Regions from separate parts of the Mus musculus genome. Here all the other regions are reported to be linked to region 1. Evidence: microRNA targets listed by miRTarBase, many of them from high-throughput screens and not tested one by one. Region 1 holds a microRNA gene; each other region holds the end of a gene's coding sequence.
Evidence for each region. The annotated mature microRNA mmu-miR-24-3p reads UGGCUCAGUUCAGCAGGAACAG and lies in region 1 at 2,574-2,595, opposite strand. An mRNA with a match to its seed (bases 2 to 7 or 8) in the 3' UTR can be bound and repressed. Matches are read on the target gene's strand: a 7mer-m8 pairs with bases 2 to 8, a 7mer-A1 pairs with bases 2 to 7 and ends in A, and an 8mer does both.

Region 2: the mRNA of Cnst is a reported target of mmu-miR-24-3p. Seed matches in the 3' UTR shown: 7mer-m8 at 2,229-2,235.
Region 3: the mRNA of Clmn is a reported target of mmu-miR-24-3p. Seed matches in the 3' UTR shown: 7mer-A1 at 3,303-3,309 and 7mer-m8 at 10-16.
Region 4: miRTarBase lists Nacc2 as a target of mmu-miR-24-3p. Seed matches in the 3' UTR shown: 7mer-m8 at 2,273-2,279.

What each region holds. Positions count from the first base shown.
Region 1 is chr8:84,207,404-84,211,469 of GRCm38, reverse strand. It overlaps Mir24-2 (microRNA 24-2), which reads right to left and starts at 2,655; the gene lies at 2,549-2,655. Zswim4 (zinc finger SWIM-type containing 4) reads left to right here. Exons shown (of 14, transcript NM_172503.3): 14 at 1-528. Mir23a (microRNA 23a) reads right to left here and starts at 2,952; the gene lies at 2,878-2,952. It overlaps Mir27a (microRNA 27a), which reads right to left and starts at 2,798; the gene lies at 2,712-2,798. It also overlaps Mir3074-2.
Region 2 is chr1:179,624,679-179,628,744 of GRCm38, reverse strand. Cnst (consortin, connexin sorting protein) reads right to left here. Exons shown (of 11, transcript NM_146105.3): 11 at 1,272-3,746. The coding sequence ends at 3,541. Among named protein-coding and RNA genes, the nearest start is that of Sccpdh, 42 kb to the left of the region's middle.
Region 3 is chr12:104,768,403-104,772,468 of GRCm38, forward strand. It overlaps Clmn (calmin), which reads right to left. Exons shown (of 14, transcript NM_053155.2): 14 at 1-3,561. The coding sequence ends at 3,390. Among named protein-coding and RNA genes, the nearest start is that of Dicer1, 18 kb to the left of the region's middle.
Region 4 is chr2:26,056,379-26,060,444 of GRCm38, reverse strand. Nacc2 (nucleus accumbens associated 2, BEN and BTB (POZ) domain containing) reads left to right here. Exons shown (of 6, transcript NM_001037098.1): 6 at 1-4,066. The coding sequence ends at 483. Among named protein-coding and RNA genes, the nearest start is that of Nacc2, 34 kb to the left of the region's middle.

The DNA of each region.
Region 1 (4,066 bases):
CTGAAGGATATTAAGAGGTCTTGGGCCTCTGCCACATACCTCACCCCCAAATACCCTTGTCAAGCCAGGGCCTGTCTTCTCTTGGGCACCAAGGTCACAGGGTAGGCTGGGGACAGCTCTCTGCTGGCCAGACCCCACCACTAGTAACTGGATACACAACTCAGGAGTCAGGCTGCCCTCCAGCCTGTTGTGGGAGGCACAGGCAGACAGCCAGGGACCCCGTTCTGTCTTCCTCTTGCTCTGCACCTCCATTTGTTTCCCCACTCCCTTAGTTTCCCCATGTCTGCATCTCTCTCAAGTCCCAGCTGCTGACAGGCCTTCCTGTATCCCAGGCCTTGGCCCAGGGAGGAAGAGAAGGGAGAGCCTCCACCCCAGACGCACCTGTCTTCTCTCTTGTATATTAAGGAAAAAGTTGGCATCATTTTGTAACTTTTTTTCTTATTTATTGAACCCCATACTGTATTCTTTTCCTTTTTTTTTCCTTTTTTTTTAAAAAAAAGATTGAACACAACTTCTTTTTAACTTCAAGACTGGGTTGCATTGCTAACACAAACACCCGGGGCCAGGGGTACCTACCACCTGCTCAATTAACCAAAAAATTTTCCATCTCGGTTTTTGGGCACAACTTGAATGGGACAGGAGAGGCTGCTGGTTTCTTCATGGCATCGTGGTGACACGAAGAGCCACCTCTTGCTGGTGGCTTTACTGCTTTTCCATCTGCATGTCATAATCTCTGCAAGTCAGGAGGCTTAAAACGCCCAAACCTAGAGTCTGTAGGTTTTTGGAAAATGCACCCAGATTGCACTGTCCTTCATTGCAGGAAATGACCACCAGGGGGCGTCTGGCTCCAGACAACGTCATTCGGAGCTCCGGAGGTCTCACCAGGTGCGGAGGGCAGCTGGGGACGCCTGTGTCCCCAGTGACCTGCCCATTGCATTTTTGGGCTGTGGATGAGACTCCCGTTCTTAGATGGATTCATCCAGCGGACGGCCTGGGCATTCTTCTCATTCTCCGGTTCTTTATGTCCTTAGCTGTGTCTGACAGGGTCATTGTTTAGGACCGTTCTCTTGGAAGCTGTGTGTGTGTGTGTGTTGCCTCTGTGGGGCACTATGGGAGCTGGCTGTGACTATGAGTGTGGCCATAGTTCATGGTGCGTTCCTTTGCTCCAGGGAGCCGATCAGAGGCGATCCGCCCCTTAGCCCTTCTGGCGCAGACGGGCGCGCGCGCGTGCGTGCGTGCGTGCGTGTGTGTGTGTGTGTGTGTGTGTGTGTGTGTGTGTGTAGACGGGCGCGCGCGCGTGCGTGTGTGTGTGCATGCGCGCGTGTCTGTCTGTGCTCGCATATGTGCCCGTCCTTAAGCCCTGTGTGTGTGTGTGTGTGTGTGTGTGTGCATGCGCGCGTGTCTGTCTGTGCGCGCATATGTGCCCGTCCTTAAGCCCTGGCATCTTGCCAGTCAGTGCATCCCAGCATAGGCAGAGTACATTCTTGTAACATACTCCCTCATGGAACTGGGGTGACCACAGATTGGTCTCATACACCCCAGGTCTGGGTTATCCCTCCCGTTCAAGCCATCCCCAAAGGATCCCAGGATCTTCAGGTCGCAGCACCTACTGACCACAGAACTATATTTACACCTTCCTAGAAGCAGGTGGAGCAAGGTTGGGGATAGGTGCAATGCAGGTTAGGAGCCCAGGGTGTGGTAGATATAGTGGTGCAGCTGGTATTCCCAAACTCCAGACACTGGAGGAGTTTGATTCAAGGTCAGCCTGGTCTACACAGAAATGCTGTTTCAAGAGAAATGAAAAAAGCCAGCAACACACATGTGGGAGGCGGGAATGAAGAGACGTCAGCCCTTACGGAATGAGGCTGTGGAGCTTTTATTTAGTTGGAGAACAACATTCAATACAAGCTTTCAACTCTGTTCTTCCACCCAGGCTTCGATTTGCCCCTGCCCAGAGTAGGGAGAGGACACTGTATGGTCTGGGAAGTGTAACTCAGCCAGTTCCAATTAGTCTGCATGCAGTCTCATTTGTGGGTAGTAGGCAACTTTTTAACTTCCAAGCCTGGAGATTACTTCAACAGGCCAATGGGGGGGGGGGGCATGGATCTGTTCATATCCTGAGGCCTGTGTGGACCTCGCTCCCTGCCTCGCTGTCACCAGCAGAAAGCTGCAGACCCCATGGGATTGCTAGGCACACTGGATCAGGTCAGTGCCTTCTTCCGGAAGCAGAGAGTTGGCATTTAACCGTTAGAGGGCCTAAAGCAGCTTCCTCTTGGGTAACTGACTTCAAAGATGGTATGTATAAGGGGTGGTGCCTGAGCCCCACCAGACTTAGGAAAAGAAGGGCTTCCAGGCCCTGAGGGGACATAACTGGCTTTTAATGCAAGGGTTACCCGCCCATCTATCTGCTTTGGGGAACCACAGAAATCTCAAGGTGGACACCCAGATGCAGGCTTAGAGGCTGAGCCTCCAGCAGACAACGGGGCTTAGGTTGGACTAATTACCCCATTGTTTCCAGGTCTTGCTCACGGCAGACATTCTGCAGGGTTGCCAGCTCCTAGGGGGCTGGACTCCTGTTCCTGCTGAACTGAGCCAGTGCACTGGAATCAACTGTTTCAGCTCAGTAGGCACGGGAGGCGGAGCCCGGAGAGAGGCAGAGCCCTGCCAGCCAGGAGGCAGAGCAGGGTGGGCAGCAGCGGCCTGAGGAGATGGGGTCCAGGGGGCGGAACTTAGCCACTGTGAACACGACTTTGCTGTGGACCTTGCTCACAAGCAGCTAAGCCCTGCTCCTCAGGCCAGTTGTCATGATAGGCTTCTCTGTTACCCAGTACCCAAGACAGACATCCTTGGCGACAGGAGCCCCCAAGGCAGAGCACAGGGTCAGTTGGAAATCCCTGGCAATGTGATTTGTGACTGGCATCAAATCCCATCCCCAGGAACCCCAGCCGTCCGAGGCACAGTGAGGGGGGCAGCAGGTGGGAGCGGAGTGTAGCACCTAAAGAGAGAAAGAAGAGACAGTGAGATTGGAGCATTCTTGCTTGCCTGCCTATCTTGACCAGGCTGGGTCTCACATAGCTGAACACAAGGTTTCCGAATGCACCAGTTCTTCCTGCCTCTACCTCTGGAGTCTAGGATTATAGGTACACCTCACCACACACAGTTTAAGTGGTGCTGGGGACAGAATCTAAACTCAGCTTGCTGATCCACACCCTAGCCCTCCTCTACTTCCAAGAGGGAAGAAGCATTCCCAAAAAAGAGGAGCATCGATCCGTAGGAAGGTTGGAGCGAGGCTGCTGGATGCTGGGCACCCAGCAGTGCCTCTACCCCAGCCCTACAAAGCGGGAGGTGCCTGAAGCCCTAAGGCCAAAGGGGCTGCAGAGCCTTCCCAGCTGCTTCCCACTCTGCTTCTATCCCCACCCACAGCCCTGAGCCCAAAGCAGGCCAAATGGGGCCATGGAGAGGAAGCTGAGGGAGGTGGACGGTTGGAGGGAGGAAGTGACCTCACCCCAGCTGGCGCCACTTCCTAGAAGCCTGAAGGGCAGGAGGAAACTCCAGGGCCTCCCACCTCAGCCCTCTCCTCCCCAGCCAGCTCAGACATAACCCCACCCCCACCCCACACCACCTAGGGCCCAAGCAAGGAGAAGCAGGCCGATGCACCCCAACAATAACACCTCAGTAAAGTTTCCCCTAGGCCTTCCAAGCCTCAGTTTCCCCATCTGTAAAGCAGACTACAACAGTTGCAGTTGGTGGCTCACGTTTATCTCAGCATTGAGGAAACTGAGGCAGGAAGGTTGCCAAGAATGGAGTCAAAAGCCTGCTTAAGCTACATGATGAGTTTTAGGCCTAACTGGGCTACAGTTTGAGACCCTAGTCTTAAATAGAAGAAAAACAAAAATAAAACAACAAAACCCCAAACCTTCTACTAGGAAGGCCAGTGAAAACTTACAGAGAAGGTATTTAGCACCCAGTACCAGGGCAAGCCACAAAATTTGGGGCCTACCCAATGTAGAGTAGTGTCCTGCGTGCCAGTTAAAGTTTTCAGGGGCCAGCAAGCTGATCCAGCAAG
Region 2 (4,066 bases), not on the chromosome of region 1:
TGGTTCCTTCTTTACAAATACATTCCCTTATCAGACGCAAGCTCTTTAAGCCGAGTGGGGCCCCCAGCCCTCTCACTGTGCTTACAGGGCTGGCAATCTGATGTGTGTAAGGGGGCAGAAGGCAGCAAACACGAGCTGCTCAGCACCAGACACAAAGCCACGCCCAGCTTACTACATTGCTATTAAAGTCCAAAAGCCCCAGAGGCACTCGTACAGTCTCTGCAGGTGCAGGTCATGTGAGGGAAACAGAAGTGTAGTGGAGCCGAGCATCACCAAACCTGTGGCTTAGAGATGTACATGTGCTTATTCAGACACAGAATGCATCAATGTCAAAATACTACAAACGCCACACAAGATCAACTGTGCCCAAAGCAATGAGAGCTTACAGAGGTCTGCCTGCTAGCAGTAGGATGAAGAACCCAGCCTCTCGAAGGGGATGAGCAGGGACGGAGGGGAACAAGAGTGTACCAGGTAATGAAGATGCTCAAAATGCATTATCTACACGTATGCAAGTGTCATAATGAAACCCAGTATTAATAGATGCTAATAATGAAAAATAACCCGCCTATGTATGGGGAGTGAGTGTCACAAAGGCCAGTGTCAGGAAAGGAGGTCACCAGCCGAAGGCTTCTTTGGTCTCCATTTTCCCTCTGTTCAACACCCACCGCCCCACCCTGGCCCCACCCAGTCCTTCCTCACTGCTCCCCTTAGGCTATGTTGTCCTGCCATTCAGGAGACCCAAATCACATCTGCCCTTGCAAAATAAGCCTGACCTTCAAACTTCAGCTCCTCAGCACCTCTCACACCCCAATTCACAGACTGATAAAATCAGACTCTGGACTTGATTTTCAAGTCTAAAAGGATGCAGCACTTGAGAGTGGAGCCTGGTTACTAGTCAGGCAGAGAGGTATTTTAAAAGCTGAGAACTGTTACTTAGGGACGTTACGATGTCCTCAAAATAGAGGTGATAAGATGGCTCAGTGGGAGAAAGCGCTTGCTCTCAAGCGCATGACCTGAGTTTGAGCCTCTGGACCCTAATGGTGGAAGGAGAGAAGCGACTCCGTTAAGTGTTCTTCTGACCTCCACATGGACACTGTGGCACAATTGTGGTCCCTCCCCAAAATATGTGAATGTAATTAAAAAAAAAAAAGACTTGCTCCAAATAGCTGGCATCTCCTTCAGGGACTGGCCCGACCTCTGGCATTATAGTTTGCTTTCAAGCACGTCCCCCAACACCCAAAGGGTTCAAATAAATTCTCGGAGACATTTTGTTGGTGTAGATTTTAAATTACAAGCTTGATTTGACACCCTCAAATACAGTTCTTCAGAACTCTAGGTATAAATAGTTGTCAGTACTTTCAAATGAGAGGAGGAGTGACATTTCAGCATAGTTGTCTGATGCTTGTACGTAGGATAGCATCCTCTCACCTGCAGGGGGATACTCCAATTCATGCAATAAATGACCATTACAGGTTTCAAAGGTACCCTAGGTTTTCTAGGTGAGAGTTCACACCCACTTTAGGTCACGAGGTCAGTCTGCTCCCGATCACTCTGGTTCCCCGAGTGGTGAGCACCGGCTCCTTGGATACACAACTGGGTCACTGGTTAGCCAGGTATCATTTCAGCCCTTTCTTTTACTGGATTCTCCCAGGAAACCCAGGGTTTTGGAAATGTGGCCAAGGTGGCTGAGAGGCAAATACAACATCAGAGATCACACGGGACTCTGAGTGACCGAAAAGAGGTGAACAGGAGGGAGATTTGAACTTTTCTTGACATAAAATTGGCAGAAACAAAGATCATCAAATCCCCGCAGCTAGAAATCATGAGGGTGAAATGTCTGTGTATCGAGAGGAGCCTGCACAGATGACCTCGCTCGTGGCTCCTATAGAACCACTGTTCCAGGATGATGGGACCTATGTTACATATGATATGAATACAAAGTCTTAAAGTTTATAGTAGGACATTAAAATAATCTTCTAATAAAATCAGCCTTAGGTATAACGAATCTAAATTTCAGCATTCTGTATACTTCTAAATAAATAACTCTGATCTATACCCATCGAAAATATTACAGTTTATGGTGACATAAGAGATAAGCCACGCAGTATTATAAGTGAAAATAAAAAGTCAATTTCAAAATAAGTCTAAAAATACACGGAGCTGAAATGGTATAAAATCCAAACACTAAGCATCTAATTAAATAGGCAGCGGTGGGATGAAGGAATGCAGGCTCAGCAGCGCACGCTCAATTCATAAAAAAGCTCCTTAAGTTCACACTCCAAATAAATAAGCAGAGACACAAAGGAAGGTACTGTGCCAGCCAGTAACACCTGCAAAGCCAGTTTTCTCCTTCCTTCCAAACGATCCCGACAGGAAAACAGAACATAACGGTCACTTGCTAAAAAACTATAATTCATGATTTTTAAAAAAAGATGTTGCCTCGAATATAAAAAGTCAAAGGAAGGCCTCCTAAACATTAGATCACTGTACCGCAAATGAGGAATGGCCACCTGGTGACAGAATTAAACAACACTAGACATTTGTCTCTTTAGGGTATGACTGGATTTCTGCTTCATGAGCCCATGAAGCATTCTAGAATGAGCCCACGAGAGGAACACATTCCATACACCTAAGCGCACGGCCTGAGAGTACGCATACACGTGGTAGTCTGCTTCATTCGTCAGAGTATGGGTTTACCTGCCCTAAACACCTGCACAGTGGCAACCACTCCTTACTCAGGATGCTCTCCTGAGGCTCTCAGGACATAACAGACACTCAGTAAGTTTCTCTTGAGCTGCGCACAGAGCCCGGCACTCATCTCTTGAGGCAGCATAGAAGCCAGAGTGAACTCTCACCTGGGACCTGGGAGTTCTGTCCCTGTGCCTTTGGGCCTGTCAAGTTCATCGACACAGGTCTGTCAGTTCTCAACTCGGGGCCAACATCTCTACAGTTTATCTAGTTCACAGGTAAGCCTTCTCCAAAGAGTTGTGCCTGCACATTGTCGTCAAGTTAAAAGAATAAAGGTCATCTTTGTATTCTATGCTGGCTATCCACTTGTGATCACTGCTTCAGACCACCCCTGCCTCCGCCCCCCACAACCATTTTGCAAATGGAGACCAGAATCTAGAGTAATGCCCAAGGCTTAAATCACACAGTTCCCGAGATTAACTAAAAAATGGCACTGAAGCCATAAGATAATGCTCTCTGATGACAAAGAAACTTATTGCATGATGGTGGGAAGCAATGGCTGTGGAGCAAGACTGTAAACCAGGAGTGCCCTTTAGCCCTCAGTGTGAGCCCCACATGACACGGGGAAGCAGCAAGGAGAGGGGCCTGCTCGCCATAGCTCCCTCTCTCTGTCCTCGGTGCCTACATCTGTGTTCCCTGGGCTGCTGTTTAATGTTGCTGTTTCTAACGTTCATCCTTGGGTCCTTGATGCCAGGGAGCAGGGATGTCTCATGACTTCTGAGATAAACGCTGTCGGGGAAGTCTGCATCTTCTTTGTCTGTCAGCCGTCTGTCACGCCTGCCACGCTTACTGCTAGGAGAGGTAGACCCAGTGTTTCAGCCCTGCCACCCCCTGCAGCAGCTTAGTGTAATAGAAGTCCACGTTGTCGGCAAAGTCCGTGCAAACAGGTGACTCAATGTTGCCCAGGGTGCAGTAGAGTGCAGTTCCTCCAACACTGAGGAAGACAGTGGCTATGCACAGCAAGATGAGCAGGATGCAGGAACCACCACCAACCTCATCTGCAAACAGGAGAACGGGGTTAAACTATCAGCAGGCTTAGCTCAAGTCTCTTCACGGGTTCTTTTAATCACAGTCCTCCGATGCCTGCTAATCTAGGCTAGCGACCTAGTTCATCTCCTCCCACTTTCTCATCACCGTGACTCCTCCCCATCTATGGGCTCTGATCTGTGGACCAAATGTTCGGAAGAACTGTCTGCACTAAATATGTACTATTTTCTTACCACATCCCCTTAAACAATACCACATAGCAATTATGTACAGATTATTTAAACTCACGGGATCTGATATATAATCCAGAGGTGACTTCAACTACTGAAGT
Region 3 (4,066 bases), not on the chromosome of region 1:
GCAGCCAGGGGCTCAGAAAGAAAGAAATTGTAAGAGGATTTAAGGAGTTTCCCATGAGGACCCAGAATAGGTGCCACAGCAAAGGACAGGACACACTCAGGTCAGGCCACCAAGAGAAAGGAGACTGGGGATGTCAACCAGGGAAGGGAGAGTCCTTGTCTTGTACAAAGGCATGGGGCAGAAACGGCATCGGAATCTTAAGTCTGCCACTGGAAAGCAGCAGCAAGGGCTATGTTGCCACCTGCGGAGCTACACCCAGCCACACAGTAGGGCAGGAGACAGACATGTTAAGTCATGGAACAAAACAAAACAAAACAAAACAAAACAAAACTAAAGCTTTTTATTTCTCACATTCCATTTCTCGAAAAGTTGGTGAAAAACAGACAGAGGGGGGGGGGACACAGAAGGAAGAGGAAGAGAGGACACAGAAGGAAGAGGAAGAGAGGACACAGAAGGGAATAGTAGGAGAAACAGCTGAAAGGTAGACAAAAGGGACTATGACCACAAATGAGCCTCAGGGGCAGCTGCCCTTGTTTCAAACCTACAGCACTTTCTTATTTAATAGATGCTAACTAAGCAAGGCTGGAGACGTGATTCAGTAGTTAAGCGCACATGATGCTCTTGCACTGGACCCTGATTCAGTTCTTCATACCCACAGAGGGGATCTGATGCCTTCTTAGGGCCTCCATGGGTACCTGCATTCATGCGCGCGCGCGCGCACACACACACACACATTCACTCACTCTTTAAAAATAAATTTTTTAAAAGATGTCGAGTGACCAACAGCTTGCCAGCAGCTTTCCATAAGTGGTCTCTTCTACATGCCCCTACACTCAAGTGAGATTATTTTTCCCTTTCAACTAGCAACTTCCTGCCAGTTTGAGCCGAATGATGCTTGGGCATCTTGCCTGTAGTAGTTTTAAAGGCTGTTCTAAGCCACAGGAGGCGAGAGAAGCAGTATGCGCAGACTTCGGACCAAGGTCTAGACCCATAAAATAAACGATTCACATCTGGGCCAGCTCCTCTTTGGTACCTCATCTGGGCAAGGACCCTGCAGTGTGCGAGGTCATAAAACATCACACATAAAACCTTTATCATCTGTACTTTTGAACTTCCAATGGGACCAGGGAGCTCATTAAGTCGTTCACTTTCTTTGGAGCTTTGGGCCTTTAACCTGGAAGTGTTCCAAGCCCCCAACCTCTCTCCTCTTAGAAAGCTTCAATTCTTTTTTGGGGGGAGGGGGAGGCAGACGCCAATCAAAATGGCTGAGAAGCCAAGTTTTTAACTGTCCTGACTCAATGTGCTATGTAAATTGTCTGAGTCGTTGGTTTGCTTAAGGAGAATGACTCCTGGGTGAAGAGCAGCGTTCATGTCAGATGCAAGATGTGATGCCTCATTCCCATTGTATCCATGGAAACACACCTCTGGAAGTGACTCTGAGGGTCTTTCCAGAAAGAGGCAAGGCTTGCCCTGAATGTGGGCAGCACCATCCCCTGGACTGGGGGTCCCAACCTGAACTAACACACACTCTTTCCCCCCTTCCCCTTCCTCTGCCTCCCGATACAACATGACTAGCCCCCTCACATTCCTGCTGCCACGATGCCCGCTGTATGATGGATCGCATCCTGGAGCTGTGAGCCCCTAGACCCTCTCCTTTCTTCTTAAGTTGTTTTCTCAGTTGCTTTGTCACAGCAACAAGAGTAGTAACCAACACATAAGCCTTTACAGCCGTCAAGAACATTCTAGAAGGAGCCCAGGCTAAGCTTGGAGGTTAATAAAAGGTCTAAAAAGGACGGCTGTGTTTGAGTGAGGACATTTGTGTACCTGGCTGGACGTTTTCTACAAAGAAAAAGCAATAGTTCCAGACTCGGGGGCCAAGTGGCCTGGGGGCTAGTGACCAGTCTGTGATAGGCTGTGTGACCTTGGCCAGCCTGTTCTGCCTCTCTGAGTTCAGAGATGCTCCCTGAGGCCCATTCTGGACTAACGGTTTGTGGTTTTATAAGGGCTGCCTAGTGTGTTTTTTTTGGGGGGGGGGTTCGAGACAGGGTTTCTCTGTGTAGCCCTGACTGTCCTGGAACTCACTTTATAGACCAGGCTGGCCTCGAACTCAGAAATCTGCCTGTCTCTGCCTCCTGGGTGCTGGGATTAAAGGCGTGCGTCACCACGCCCTGCTAGTGTGTGCTTTTTGAGAGGGATAGCAAGGGCAAGAAGAAGCTGGAGCTTTGCCAGACTTGAGCCTTCGCAAAGTGGACAGGGGACACTGGGGTAGGTAGGGGCCGAGGAAGACAGGAGGGTGAGAAAAGAAACCTTTCTCTTCCTGCAACCTGCCTGCCCCAGCCTATACCCTGGTCCTTTCCAGAAAGCCTTTGCAAGATCTCTGTTTGGTTGACCGCAAAGGATGCTGGTGCCAAGGTACGAATGCCTCCTGAGCCCAGAAACCTGCAGAAACCCTCCCAGCGCCACCATTTGTGGGAGCTTATTTTGGCTGGGCCACTTCCAGCCCCCTGGGGCAACCTCATGCAGCCCCTCAAAAAAGACAGGTTCCATACAGAAGACTCAGCAGAGGAAGGGAGAGTCAGGGCTACCCCAGTCAGCCAGAGCCTTGCTTTGCATGCAAATCTAGACTGGCTTTCATCTGATAGGAGGTCCTACTGATGGGCAGGTTTTAAAACTAGAGCCGTACCTCAATTCAATCAATAAAAAGGCGAATTAAAAACGCAACCCTCCAAGAACACCAAGGTGAAAGACGAATGGGTTGTAGCTCACAACAAACCTGGCAGAAACACCCTCTTCTTTGGAGTCTGCCAATGGCCGGGTGTAATTTCCAGTGAACGGGCAGGTATGTGCTGTTTAAGTCCCCAGCAATGGATGACCAGGCTGGGGCAGGTTATCGCTCAAACACTCACACTTGAAGGCAAACAGGGTACCGTTCTTCCTACCACAGACTCCGCTCTTTCTCAGAGTTGGGCAGGCCCTCCCCTGAGATAAAAGGAAGTAACTCAAGCTCCTCCAGGACCTTAGGAACCTGCATGTGCACATGTTAAGACCCAGGTTTGGGGTACACATTAGTAAGGACTCGCATCTGACCAAACAAGGCACATAAGGAGGAATCGCGTCCACAGATCCAGCCTCAAACCTGAGCTGGGAGCACACAGTCTGGAAAGAAAGCATGCTCTCGGGGGGGGGGGGGGGCTGGGAGGGGGGCTTAGAGAATCAGAGGACATGTGAGCAAAGACTGAACCGGACAGCAACAGGGGGTGTGGGGCCTGTGCTCCCTCTGCCGTCTTCCATCTCTGCACAGGTGGCTCAACCCTGAACAGACAGTAAGATGCGGTAGAAAGACTCCGCCCTGGCCAGGGTCCTGTCTTTTTATTCTCCAGACACATGTTTCAGAGCCGGCTGACATCAAGCTGTGGGAAGAGCAGTAAGCAGTAAACGAGGAGCCAGAGGAAGAGAATGAAATATATCACGTCGGGCTGCTGTACAAACTGCGTCAGAGAGTCGTTGGGCGGGCTCTGGTTCCCCAGGGGCACAGCTTCTCCAGAGGAGTTGGTGCCAGTCCTGCAGAAGGAAAGAAAGGGACAGGATGGTTATTGGTGGGGTCCCTATGATTGGAAGACCATCCTGAACCTCAACCCCACAACCCATCCGCAGATAAAGGCTCCCATAATACATCAGGGAGGTCCCCATTTGTGTGTGTGTGTTCCAGGAGAGGGAGCTCCATCACCACTCCCTAACAGAAGGAGCCATGCCAACCATTTCACAAATGACCACAGTGACAGTCATTGGGCAGCAGTTGTCAAAGGCCACACAATTACTTCATGATAGAGCTGAGCCAGGTCTCCTGGGACAGTTCAGGAGGAGGTAGGACTGCCAGCTCTCACCTACCTACGCCTCAGTTACTAAAGGGACTTTGGCTGATAATTTCAAAGCAGCTACTGGGGACAAACAAGTCAAGTCACCCCAAGTTTTGCCTTTGACAGGTTGCCTTCAGAAGCACTGTCAGCTTTGATTTGGGTCAGAGTTACCTTTCTTTTAGGTGGTGGGAGGGGGGGTTTAACAAGTG
Region 4 (4,066 bases), not on the chromosome of region 1:
AAAGAGAGCGAGATGAACGTGATTGCCGCAGACATGTGTACCAATGCTCGCCGTGTCCGTAAGCGCTGGCTGCCCAAGATCAAGTCCATGCTTCCAGAGGGTGTGGAGATGTACCGTAGCGTCATGGGTGCGTCGGCCGCCAGCCTGCCTCTGGACCCCGAGTTCCCATCTGCGGCTCCACAGGTGTTTGAGCAGCGCATCTATGCTGAGCGACGAAGTGATGCAGCCACCATCGTGGCTCTGAGAACTGATGCGGTGAATGTCGATCTGAGCACTTCAGCCAACCCTGCCTTTGAGGCTAATGAGGAGGTGGATGGGGGTGGCTCTGTTATCCAGGAGGTGGCTGCCCCAGAGCAGCTGCCCGCTGATGGCCAGAGCTCCCCTCAGGCCTTTGAGCAGGGCAACACCAGCTCCAGTAGGCCTCAGACACCAGTGGCCACAGCAACAAGAAGGCCAGAGGGCACCTATGCAGGGACCTTGTAAGTGGCCGGCAAGGCCAGCTCACAGGAACCCAGTACTAAAGCTGCTTGCATGCGTTACTAATACAAACAAATGTGATCAAGCCACTTACCTACTGAACTGCTACTGCTGCCTGACAAAAATGTGATTTTTATTCTGCCTGTATTTAAAATGGATGAAGGAAACAAATGCATTCATTATACTGTAAACATTTAGGCCGCTGGCCACTCTCTGGGACAAAGGTCCCAGGGCAACTTTTTGATATTCCCCAGCTCAGTCTCCCGTGGTAGTGTTCTCTCTCCCTTCTTGGGGAGACAGAAGAGGGCACCGGGTCCCTGATGTCCTGCCCTGACCCTGCCTCATCCACCCTTCTTATTCCCCTGCTCTGAAAGCAGAAGCTGGGGCAGCAGTGGCCTGGGGCTGGAGGGGCAGACACGACACTCCATTCTTAACCATAAGGACCCCACTGGGACAGTGGGGGGAATGCTGGGCCCCCAGAGGCCAGACTTCTCTTGTTTTCATTCCTCCGAAGAAGCTGCCTGCGTGCATGTATGTATGCGTGTGTGTGTGTGTGTGTGTGCGTGTGTGTGTGTGTGTGTGTGTGTGTGTGTGTGTGTGTGTGTGCATGTGTGTGTATGAGTATGTACGCACACACACATGAGTGAGAGAGACAGAGAGAGAGAAAGAGAAAGAGGGGGGGCAGGAAGACCAGTGATGGCCCTGCAGTAGCTGTGGCTGGTCATCTGGGGGTGGGGGAAAGATGAGGTGTTCCCCCCTCCATACCTGTGTCCTCACTCTGCTCCACCCAGACCCCCAGCGGCTGGCCTGCTGATCCCCCCAGGGTCTCTCTGCCCCTGGCCATGGCTGTCCTCACCACCCTCTGCCTCTCCAGCCACTCTGGGATTTTGCTTGTTTGCTGTTTTTGTTTAGTTCAGATCTATTTTGTTTGTGGTTTGGAAACTTTCAGACCGAACAGAGAAAAAAAAAAAAAAAAAAAGAAAAAAAAAAAGCGAGAGACTAGTGTCCCTGTTCCCAGCCTGCTGTGGATTTGGGTGAATACATGTCCATAACCCCCATCTTGGCCTCCCATTGGAGGCAGAGGGGCCCAGGAAAGTATAGCTATCTGTGTACAGCCAAGCTAGGCCCCTGTGGACCTGGCCAGCAGGACACTGCTGCCTGGGGTGGGCTTAGCGCTCACTGTGGGTGCCCGTGTAGTGGAAGGCACAGGCCCTACAGGCCTGGGCCAGGGCAGTTGGCAGGTGTGGATCAACCTCACTGGGGACCAGAAACTTAGACTATCACGAGGACGGCACCTGTGGGGGCCGTGGAGGACTGCTGGTGGGTGAGAAGCTGGCGGTTTATCATTTTAAAGTGTGGGATATGCTCCCGAGGCTACTTTCCCAAGTGTCTCCTCTTGGACTCTTGTCTGAGGACTGCCTGCCCACCTGCAAAACCTAGCAGCTGCTGAGGTGCCCAAGGACACCGACTATAACAAACTTGAAAGGTCTCGTCCCTATCCCTCTATGCATCTTGAGTTTGCTGCCCTATGAACCCCCCACTGTGTGCCCACAGTCAGAGCAGTCTTTTCCCCATTGGAGGGTAGGAGGCCTGAGGTGCAGTTTAGACTCCCTCTGTGTCACAGCCTCCTTTTTGCAGGCAATTCCCTGTCTTGGGGGCCTCACAGGGAGACCCCATACTGTGCTGACTATACACGTCAATTCATGTATAGTCCTATCTTCCCCCTCCCCTCTTTTGGAAGACCTGTGGTGTGGAGAGGGAAAGGGGCATCATGGCAGGCACTGTGGGAACTGAGCTGAGCCCCTCCCCCTGCTCCTTGGTAACCCAAGGCCTGCATTCCTAGGGCCGGTTCAGAGGCTAGCTAATATCCAGCTCAGGAACTAGCTGCCCAGAGATGGACCTCTCACCTCTCCCATTTCCATCTTACTCCTAGGTAGGTTGGAGCCCCAGCCAGCCCTTTAGTGACTTGGACCAAACCCTCCTGGTGCTGGGTGAAGACCATAGAACTGTAGAGGGTACGGCAGGATTGGGGGCAGGGCTGTGCCCTTCCGCTCTGGAATATCCCTTCATCTGCTTCCTCCACCCAAATTTGCACTTTAATTTGACCATCCTTGGGGACCTTTGGGAGACAAACCCACCTATTTTGGTTGGTGGTAGAAGGGCTCTTTCTCATCCCTCCACTCCAAGATGAGCATGGTCCCACCCTGGGCCAGCATAGGGAGGGTGCCGCTGGCCATTAGAGGAACAGTGGCCGCACAGAATGCCTGACCACTGCTCGGGCTAGCACAATGTCCTCAACCTCTGTCCCTTAGTGTTTATAATTGCCATCTGTTTTGTTCTGGGTAAGGAAGGCAAGAGCTATAGGTAAAACTTCAATAATATTAAATGTGAATGGATTCTGAGCTCTCCCTGTGCCCCGGGTGGGCCAGACAGAGCGTTTTGCACTAATGTGTCCCATTGTGGACGTTGTGGGGATCGTTTGCAGACATGCATGGCCAATGACTGTACCTGCTTAGGGGAGGGGCACTCCCTCTGCATCCTGAATGTACTGCGAGGCAGGCGGGTGGCAGGCCTGGGCTCCGAGGGGCCTTCCAGAGTGCCTTAGCATCTTTTGATTATTTTTTTCAAGGAAAACCAATTTAAAAAACCAGACTCCCTCCTTTGTTTACAAGATGACTAATTCCAGAATCGGGGCTGTCTTGTCCTGTCACGTGACCCTGACTTGTCCAGACCCTATAGGTGAGAGCCTCTCAGCATTTGTCAGATGTCTACACCTCTGTTCCTAGCTTGACTACTAGCAATATGCACATACTATGTAGAGTCTATTGTAGAAACTATTGCTACATCAGCATCTTTGCCAGGACGACAGTCGGGACTGGATAGGGTTGGAGCTACTGGGACAGAGCTGGATCCAGCCATGAGTCTTATGTCCTCCCAGAGCAGACAATAGTCCCTGAGGCAGCTGGGACGAATACAGCAGGTCTGGGGCAAGGGACCAGAGACAGGGCTGATAGTGTGAGCTTGGAGGTGCTGCCTGTCTGCCCGGCTGTCTCAGTACTTGAATTCTGTATTGTTTTCTATACCAGTTGCTTCAGCTAACATCTGATTTGGTGTCTTACTTTGCCCTTGGATGTAGATGCAGCCAGTGATGTATGAAAGGCAATTGAGGAGAGACTCTGAGGGGTCCTTTGTGGTGTGACTGCAGGTGTGGGCCTCGAAGAAAACTAGATGTGTGGTGTTTGTTTAGAACCTAAAGGAAGGCAGAAAGGGGCTGTGAGAGCTGGCAAGCTGACAGGGCCAGTCCCCTCCAAGGGACTGTGGGGTGCCTGCTGCTACCTGCTTCAACAGCAGGACCTTCCCAAGCCCAGTGCATGTTGTGCTCTGCCCCACTGTCCTCTGCTTGGGTTCCCTAAAGATGGTGATTCTTAGCTGACTTGGGGAAGAGCAGGTGGCCTATCAACCAGCTGAAAACTCGAAAGACCCTGTTAGAACCTGCTTGCCGCAGATCCCAGATGGGAATGGCGACAAGCACATGATCTGTCAGCTTTACGCACTTCACTTCGTGGAAAGGTGCTGCTGCTGGGTGGTT